Linked DNA regions of Callithrix jacchus. The protein of the gene in region 2 interacts with the protein of the main gene of each other region in a pairwise test. Links are inferred from orthologs where the notes say so. Each region holds a gene or a part of one and is shown on either strand. Other genes may lie near its edges. The genes, in order: DNA repair protein REV1 and POLI.

What was found.
Region 1: the proteins of POLI (region 2) and DNA repair protein REV1 interact in a two-hybrid assay, tested with the Homo sapiens proteins (2 studies listed by BioGRID). The link is inferred for Callithrix jacchus from reciprocal best matches to the Homo sapiens genes POLI and REV1.

The regions. Positions count from the first base shown.
Region 1 is NC_133515.1:9,087,281-9,091,107, forward strand, and holds part of DNA repair protein REV1, read right to left. Parts: intron 2,357-3,827; coding exon 1,647-2,356; intron 1-1,646. UniProt on the Homo sapiens protein: Deoxycytidyl transferase involved in DNA repair. Transfers a dCMP residue from dCTP to the 3'-end of a DNA primer in a template-dependent reaction.
Region 2 is NC_133514.1:97,478,075-97,481,901, forward strand, and holds part of POLI (DNA polymerase iota), read left to right. Parts: intron 1-1,843; coding exon 1,844-2,080; intron 2,081-3,827. UniProt on the Homo sapiens protein: Error-prone DNA polymerase specifically involved in DNA repair. Plays an important role in translesion synthesis, where the normal high-fidelity DNA polymerases cannot proceed and DNA synthesis stalls. Favors Hoogsteen base-pairing in the active site.

The DNA.
Region 1 (3,827 bases), on a different chromosome or scaffold from region 2:
AAACAGATATCCCCTAAAAGTTTCAGCCTACTCCATTTACCAAACTGTGACTGTGGTAGCATGTAACTAGTTCTCCCTTTTTTTTTTTTTGAGACAGGGTCTCACTCTGCTGCCTAGTCTGGAGTGAAGTAGTTTGATCTGCAGCCTCAACCTCCTGGGCTCAAACAATCCTCCCACCTCAGCCTCTGAAGTAGCTGGGAACAAGGCACGTTGCCACCACGCCCAGCTAATTTATTTTCTTTTTGGTAGAGACAGGGTCTCACTGTGTTGCCCAGGCTGGTCTTGAACTCCTGGGCTCAAGCGATCCTCCTGTCGTGGCCTTCCGAAGTGTGGGAATTACAGTCGTAAGCCACTGAACCTAGCCTGCTCATGTATTCTTATGCTCACAACTCCACGAGGCAAACATCCTGAACTATCTATCATTGCTCTTCACAAAGAAAACTAAGACTCATAGAGGTAAACTAACTTGCCCATACTCCTGCAGCATAAGTGTGGCAGAGTAAGGATTCAGATTCAGGCTAAATTACCTAAATCCAAAGCCAGGTACTTCCTTACCACCTTCTATATTATCTCAAGAAATGATTCATAAAGTAATCTTAATCACAGTTCTGCTGTATAAAAGTATTTTTCAAAGTGTCATATAAACATAATGCAAACAACCCAAAATAATGCTTTTAAACATTCAAATAGTACAGAATTCATAACCCAAATATCTACCAAATGCTTTCATACAATAACAAAATTTCTCATTTTATTCCCATTTATAGAACTAATTAATCATAGTTCTTTGAAGCATTCAGAATTAAATAACCTTCAGGTAACAAGGCCAAGACATGACATAAGGAATCTAATATCTATTATTCTGAAATGTTTCATAAATACCAAAAAGCATTTTTTGACTAAAAGTACGTAGAAATATGTCAAACTTAGTAAAACAAAACAGAAAAAAAACCACAGAGTGTCTATCACTTTCTAGAACAGAACCATGAGCTTCTTTCTATATCTCAGTTTCCACAGCTATAAATTATAGTATTAATCTGAGATCTCTCCCATAAAAGAAATCCTATACTCTGTAAAAGGAACTAAAACTTCAAACCAGATACTAATTTATAATGACTGGCAGTCTGCTACTAGCTGTGCATTTGTTTTTTGATGACAAGAAAAGTACTAAAAAACAAAGTACAATTAACCAATGTACGTAGATATGAAATAAGCTCACTAAAAGTTTACCACTGTAATTCTAACAGCTGTCAAAATTAATTAAAAAATCATTATGATGCAAGCTTTTAGAAATTAACAATTGCTCTTATCAAATAAATTTCATTCTTACAGAGTTTAAGCACTGAATAGATATTATATTGACACAGTTCAAAACTTCAACTGATCAGGTCTATGTGAGGAATGAATGCTCAGAATCCCAACCATCTTACTGTTTAAATTCTCTGAAAATTTTCAGTCAGCCACAATTAAATCTAATCGTTTAAAAAAATTTGAATAAATAAGCTTTCTACGTTATGCTTACTGTAACTTATATGACTTGAGTTCTTGGAGACTTTTATGAGAACTTCGTATTGACCAGAAATAGCAATAATAGCGAACAAAATGATCAAGCATTTCTTAAGAAAACAATTTTAGTAAGTATCTACCTGTGTCAGTTACAACAAGTGCAGACCTGCCTGTTTTCATTTTTTTTAACTTTTCCCTTCCTGGAAAGATACCATTACTTTGCCTTTGTAGGGTATTGACAAACTCAGTCAATTCACACTTCCACATTGATATGTGATGCAGTCTTGAACGAGAATAGAAATTTGAAATAAAATTGCAGTCTGAAGGTTTGGATGGCACTGAAGATGCTGCCTTGCTAAGAGTGGAAACCGAAGAAGTGCTTTTTGTGCTTGAAGGCCCCTGAACAGTGGAATGGTGAGCACCATTGATTTTAGTGTTACTGTGCAAAGGTGATAATGAGAAAGAATTAGTTCTGTGTGGATTCCGCAAAGCATCTGTGTTTCCGGTGCTTTGCTGCAACTGCTGCAGAGCGCAGTCTCTGAAATCAGTGCTGCTCTTCTCAGCCTTCTCCTCCTCCTGGGAAATGTCTAGAGAAAGCCTGCTGGCAACACTGTTGCCCCTGGGCACCAAGCAATCCTGTGTCTTTAAGGCACCATTAGAGCTATGAGTGTGTCCATTAAAAATGGTAGTGCTGCTGCCGGGGTGCGGAATTCCATTCTGTTTCCTTCCCGGAGAGATTTGCTCCAGATCCACAAAACTAAAATCAGTATTTTCACCTTCTTCATTCCAGCTGTTTACTCCATTGACTGTGACTTCATTTTCTGTCTCAGTCTTCTTAACAATGTGATTTCTAAAGCAGGAAAAAAATTTTAAGTTAATAATGTCTGACTTTTAGGTTAAAATAATCTTTTCGTTGCAACATTTTCTTAGTGGCACATACTTTGGTATTTCCCTCTTTAAAAACTGAGAATTGCCAGGCATGGTGGCTCAGGCCCATAATCCCAGCACTCTGGGAGGCAGAGGCGAGTGAATCACAAGGTCAGCCTGGCCAAAATGATGAAACTCCGTCTCTACTAAAAATACAAAAAATTAGCTGGGCATGGTGGTGATAGCACCTATAATCCCAGCTACTCTCAAGGCTGAGGGAGGAGAATCGCCTGAACCCAGGAGGCAGAGGTTGCAGTAAGCCGAGATCGCGCCACTGCACTCCAGCCTGGACAACAGAGCGAGACTACATCTCAAAAAAATAAAAACTTGAGAATTATTATATTGAATATTGACAATTAAAAAAAACCCTGAAAATTAAACCACAAACTTTACATTCTGATTTGACAAAAAGTTATTTTCAAAAGTAGCAAGGTAATTAGAAAAATTCTAGAATATTAACAGCCCTTTGGGTGTTGTTTTTTTTTTCATTTTAACTTCAGATAGTCCCAAAGAAGAAATGCAACAGAATCTTTCTCACAGCTGAAAAAAAACCCAAAAAACTTTTCAATGATTTTTTCCATAAAAAATTAATTGGAATATATAAGTTTTAAATATCCAGTTCTAAAGCACAATGCTCGGCATTTACTACAAGGTCAATAAATATCTGCTGAATATACTACAAATAATTTACATAAAAATGGATTTTAAAACCTTACTTAAATTCGTGTTCCTAGTTTTAGTTTTTATGAAAGGTACTATTCAACACATTAAATCCAGTATGAAACCAGTGGTTTCGGTAGAAAAAAACTGACTATCTTAATTAACCTATTAATGGAGCTAACTGTTGCACAAGTTTACAAAAAGTAAGAGTCATGTCAACGTGTGGGGTAATTCAGTAAAATTTATACCTAGAAAAATGAGGACACTTGCCTTATTGACAAGGGAAATTGTACTTCATTGCTAAGAAAAGCATATTTAGATGCCAGGGTGTACAAGGCAGTTTGTACCAAGTTGCTTTACGACAGCTTTATAAATGCAGAACCTATGACAAATGCTATGCTAAAGTCACATCCTGGCTCCTCTAGAAGTTTGTTTAGTAATGACTTCAAGAGAATCATTTAAGTAACAACAACAAAAACCTGAATTACAAACAGTTATTTATTCTACTTAGAAATGTCCACATGTCCACAGAATTAATTCAATTACCATGCAGGCTCCAGATGAAGGGCTACCCTACAGAGTAGTAAGGCACAGGTGAAATTGCGACAGTATTACCAGGTTTCACCTAAAGCCCCTCATCCTAATACTAACTTGGTTTATTAGTAATGAGAACCTGACTACACAGAAAAGTCCCACAAGTTGGATGATCACCCATTTCTGGGTTAGCTCAGGCT
Region 2 (3,827 bases):
CTCCCAAGGTGCTGGGATCATAGGCGTGAGCCACCGTGCCTGGACGATCCCATCTCTTAAAGAAACGAAAAGCCAAACCTCTTCAGGTCATTCTTTTTTCTTTTCTTTTTTTTTTTTTTTAGTTGTAATTTTTAAATTTTATGTCCTTGCTGTCATGGACAGGAAAATCTGCAAAATTCAGTGACTAGCATAAGATGACATGTCTTTGATGAGAGTGATATGAAGATAGTGTTAGGGCTCTGTAAGGATATTTACATGCTAATTAAGCTTTCAGACATCTTAAGACTCTGCATGTGACTCCCTTATCATACCACATACAAGACGAGTTACTCTGCTTTTGTGTAAGATTTGTCCGACCCTTTTGCTCTTAAGCCTCCCCATGCATTTCCTCTTATCCTCTTTTTTGAGAACTAAACATCAGTCTACAAAATAGTTCTCCACAGAAAAAAAGCGGTAGAGCTACAGTTTCTGGACTACGTGGAGCTTTTCATGTATCTTTTGTACTTGTGCTCGTTTATAACTTACAAGGGCTAAGTAGCAAGAATATTTCAAATGTATTCTATATAATTTTTAAAGCAAATTTAGATTTTATAGGTTAGAGTATGTTATAGTTAGGCTTTATATCCCAAAAAGGAAATGTGTAATTATTGATTAATTCTTCCTCTTTCACACAGATTTTATTAAAGTCTTTTTCAAACCTAAAGAAAAGTTGACAGAATTGTACTACAAATACCCATTATGTCCTTTCTTGTAGATAAACCAGTTGTTATCATTTTGCCACATTTCTCTTATTCTCTCTATGGATTGCTTGCCTGGTTGATGAGCTATTTGAAAGTAAATTGCAGACATCCTGACATTTCATCTCTAAATACTTTGAGCATGAGTCTCTTTGAGGTTCACATAGTTTAATGTAATTCCAACACTGTTTTATATCTAAAGCAAATTTATTTTTATATGATTTTTTTACACTTTCATAAAAAAGCTCTAAAACTATGGACAGGTCAGAGATTATTTTCAGCAGCATATACAGCTAGTGTGTGGTCAGGATTTAGATGTTTAGAGCTATAATGTTAGCTTTCTTGTTATATAATAATACTTTTATGCTTACTTACAGGTAAATGTGAGTAAAGTTTTATTCATGTAGGAATTTTTTTTATGAGTTTTTATAATGTGTTAATTATTAAGCACTTCTAGTATACAGTCACTATCACAGGCCCTTGGAATTTGCTTATTAAATTTGTTTACAGTATTCCTGTGAAGCATGAAAGAGATTAGTCAAGTGGATAACAGGGTGGCAGTGGTCTCTTAGTCCATTGAGTGTTGCTTTAACAGAATACCTGAAACTGGGTAATTTATGCAGAAAAAGGGTTTATTTGGTTCATGATTCTCATGGCTGGCTAAGTCAAAATTAGCCCTCTGCATCTGGTGAGGGCCTCGGGCTGTTTTCACTCATGGTGGAAGGCAAAGGGGAGCCAGTGTGTGCAGAGATCATGTGGTGAGAGAGGAAGGAAGGACTGGGGGAGGTGCCAGGCTCTTGTAACAACCAGCTGTCTCTGGAGCTAATACCGTGAGAAACTCACTCACCCCTGAGGGAGGGCATTAATCTGTTCATGAGGGATCCACTCCTGTGATCCCAACACCTCCCATTTGACCCCATTTCCAACATTGGGAATCAAATTACAACATGAGGTTTGGAGGGGACAAACATCGCAGCCATACCAAGTGGTGGTGGTAATGGTAATGGTGGTTGGATATAGACTAAGCCCTCTATCTTTTAAAAATTATTTTGTAAAGAAAAAAAGGTTTTTTTTGTGACTTTTAATGACATTTGTTGTTTTTAAAGCTATAAATCTGCATGACATCTTGCACATCAGACTACTTGTTGGATCTCAGATTGCAGCAGAGATGCGGGAAGCCATGTATAATCGGTTGGGGCTCACTGGCTGTGCTGGAGTGGCTTCTAATAAACTGTTGGCAAAATTGGCTTCTGGTGTCTTTAAACCAAATCAACAAACAGTCTTATTACCTGAAAGTTGTCAACATCTTATTCATAGTTTGAATCACATAAAGGAAATACCTGGTAAGACAAATGTATTTGAAAAGTACATACGTTTTATTGTATTTCTTTAATTGTAAAAATTATAGATACAATGTAATTAATTCTTAGATGGGGTGTATGTGAGTGTGAGTGTGTGTGTGTGTACGTGTGTGTGTACTCAGTTCCTGGAAAAAAAGTAAAAGAACAGTAATGTTTTCTGAAGCAAATTTGGATTAAGAAGTATGTGAAAGTACTTTTCTTATTTTATCTACTTTTGTATGGTTATAATATGATCATAAAAGTTATAGCCTAGAAACATACGGCTCTTTATTTCCAGTCCTTGGGTCATACTCTTATAGTGTTTGTTGCCTCTGGAGAAGGAAGTTGATCTTTTACTAACTCTCTTTTGGTATTACATATAAAATATTAAGGCTACAATAGACTTTCCAAAACATCTAGGCCAAGTTCCTCGTTTTAAAGATGAGGAAACTGATTTCCTTAAGGAATTCAGTGATCTATTTAGGTCATGGGGCAAGTTTCTATCTTTGAAGGTCAAATATCTAAGTTTTTATAGACCATCAATAATGGCTATGTTAAACTACGTTTTTATGGTATTGCTGGGGTTATAAAAGAGTTCTGTGGAAGTGAATTTCTAATACAACTGAAACTTAGATGTCATACTTCACATTTCTAACTGATACTTGTGTGTCCTTGCCTTCCTTAGTATAGTATAACTATAATTTGGAGTTTTTTGGATGACTTTGGTTCTGCATTCTGAAGAACAATGTCAGGTTGTAGTAAATTGAGAACTGTGTACTATTGCAAAACATTTTTATTTGGCTTTACTTTTGGAGTCTGTTTATTTATTTATTTTATTATTTTTTGTAAAACAGGCTTTCTGCTTTCTCATTTATTGCCAATTGCCAACCTTCTTTTATTTCTGCTGTGAAAAATCTGTCACTCTACCTTAGTAATTCCCCCTACACAGCCATCTCTTCCAACTTACTGCTTTTGCTGTGCAAGAAAACCAGATAACTATAGAATTACTATTTTTAAATGAAAAGAATAAGGAGACACTAAGTGGCTTGAGTATTTTCTCTTGTGAATAAAGTATGACTAAATTTTAGTGCAAGAATTTTGTGACAGTTTTGCTAGCAAGATTATTTGTTTGCTTTCTGGCTCATAGTTGTATTCTGGATGGTAAATATTGTTAAGATGTGACTTATGGTTAAATGTGTGGAGCTGTGCATAGCAATCAGTTAGATTACCTAATATGGACACTTAATTAAATTGCTCTAGTGGCAGCCTTTTTGTACATTAATAATAACGATTTCTGAATATTTCGAATATTACATAACAGATTGTAAAAACTTTGTTTTAGTAAGACAGCATTTATTGACTGCCTCTATGTTCATTTTGTTATACTGCATTTTGTGAGGACTTCAAAGAGATGCATATAATTCAGGAGCCTTGAGTGGAAGAACAGCAACCTGGTTTGCAATGGAGTTTGATCTTTGCAAAATACAGTAGTCCCCCATTATCTGCAGTTTCACTTTTCACAATTTCTGTTATCTGCAGTCAACTGAGGTCTGAAAATACTAGGGGATATTTTGAGAGAGGCAGAGACCACATTCATATAACTTGTGTATAGTACATTGTCATAATTGTTTATCTTATTATTAGTTATTGTTAGTCTCATACTGTGCCTAATTTATAATTTAAACTTTATCATAGGTATATATGTAATGGCAAAACAGTACTATATATATAGGGTTCGATACTCTCCATG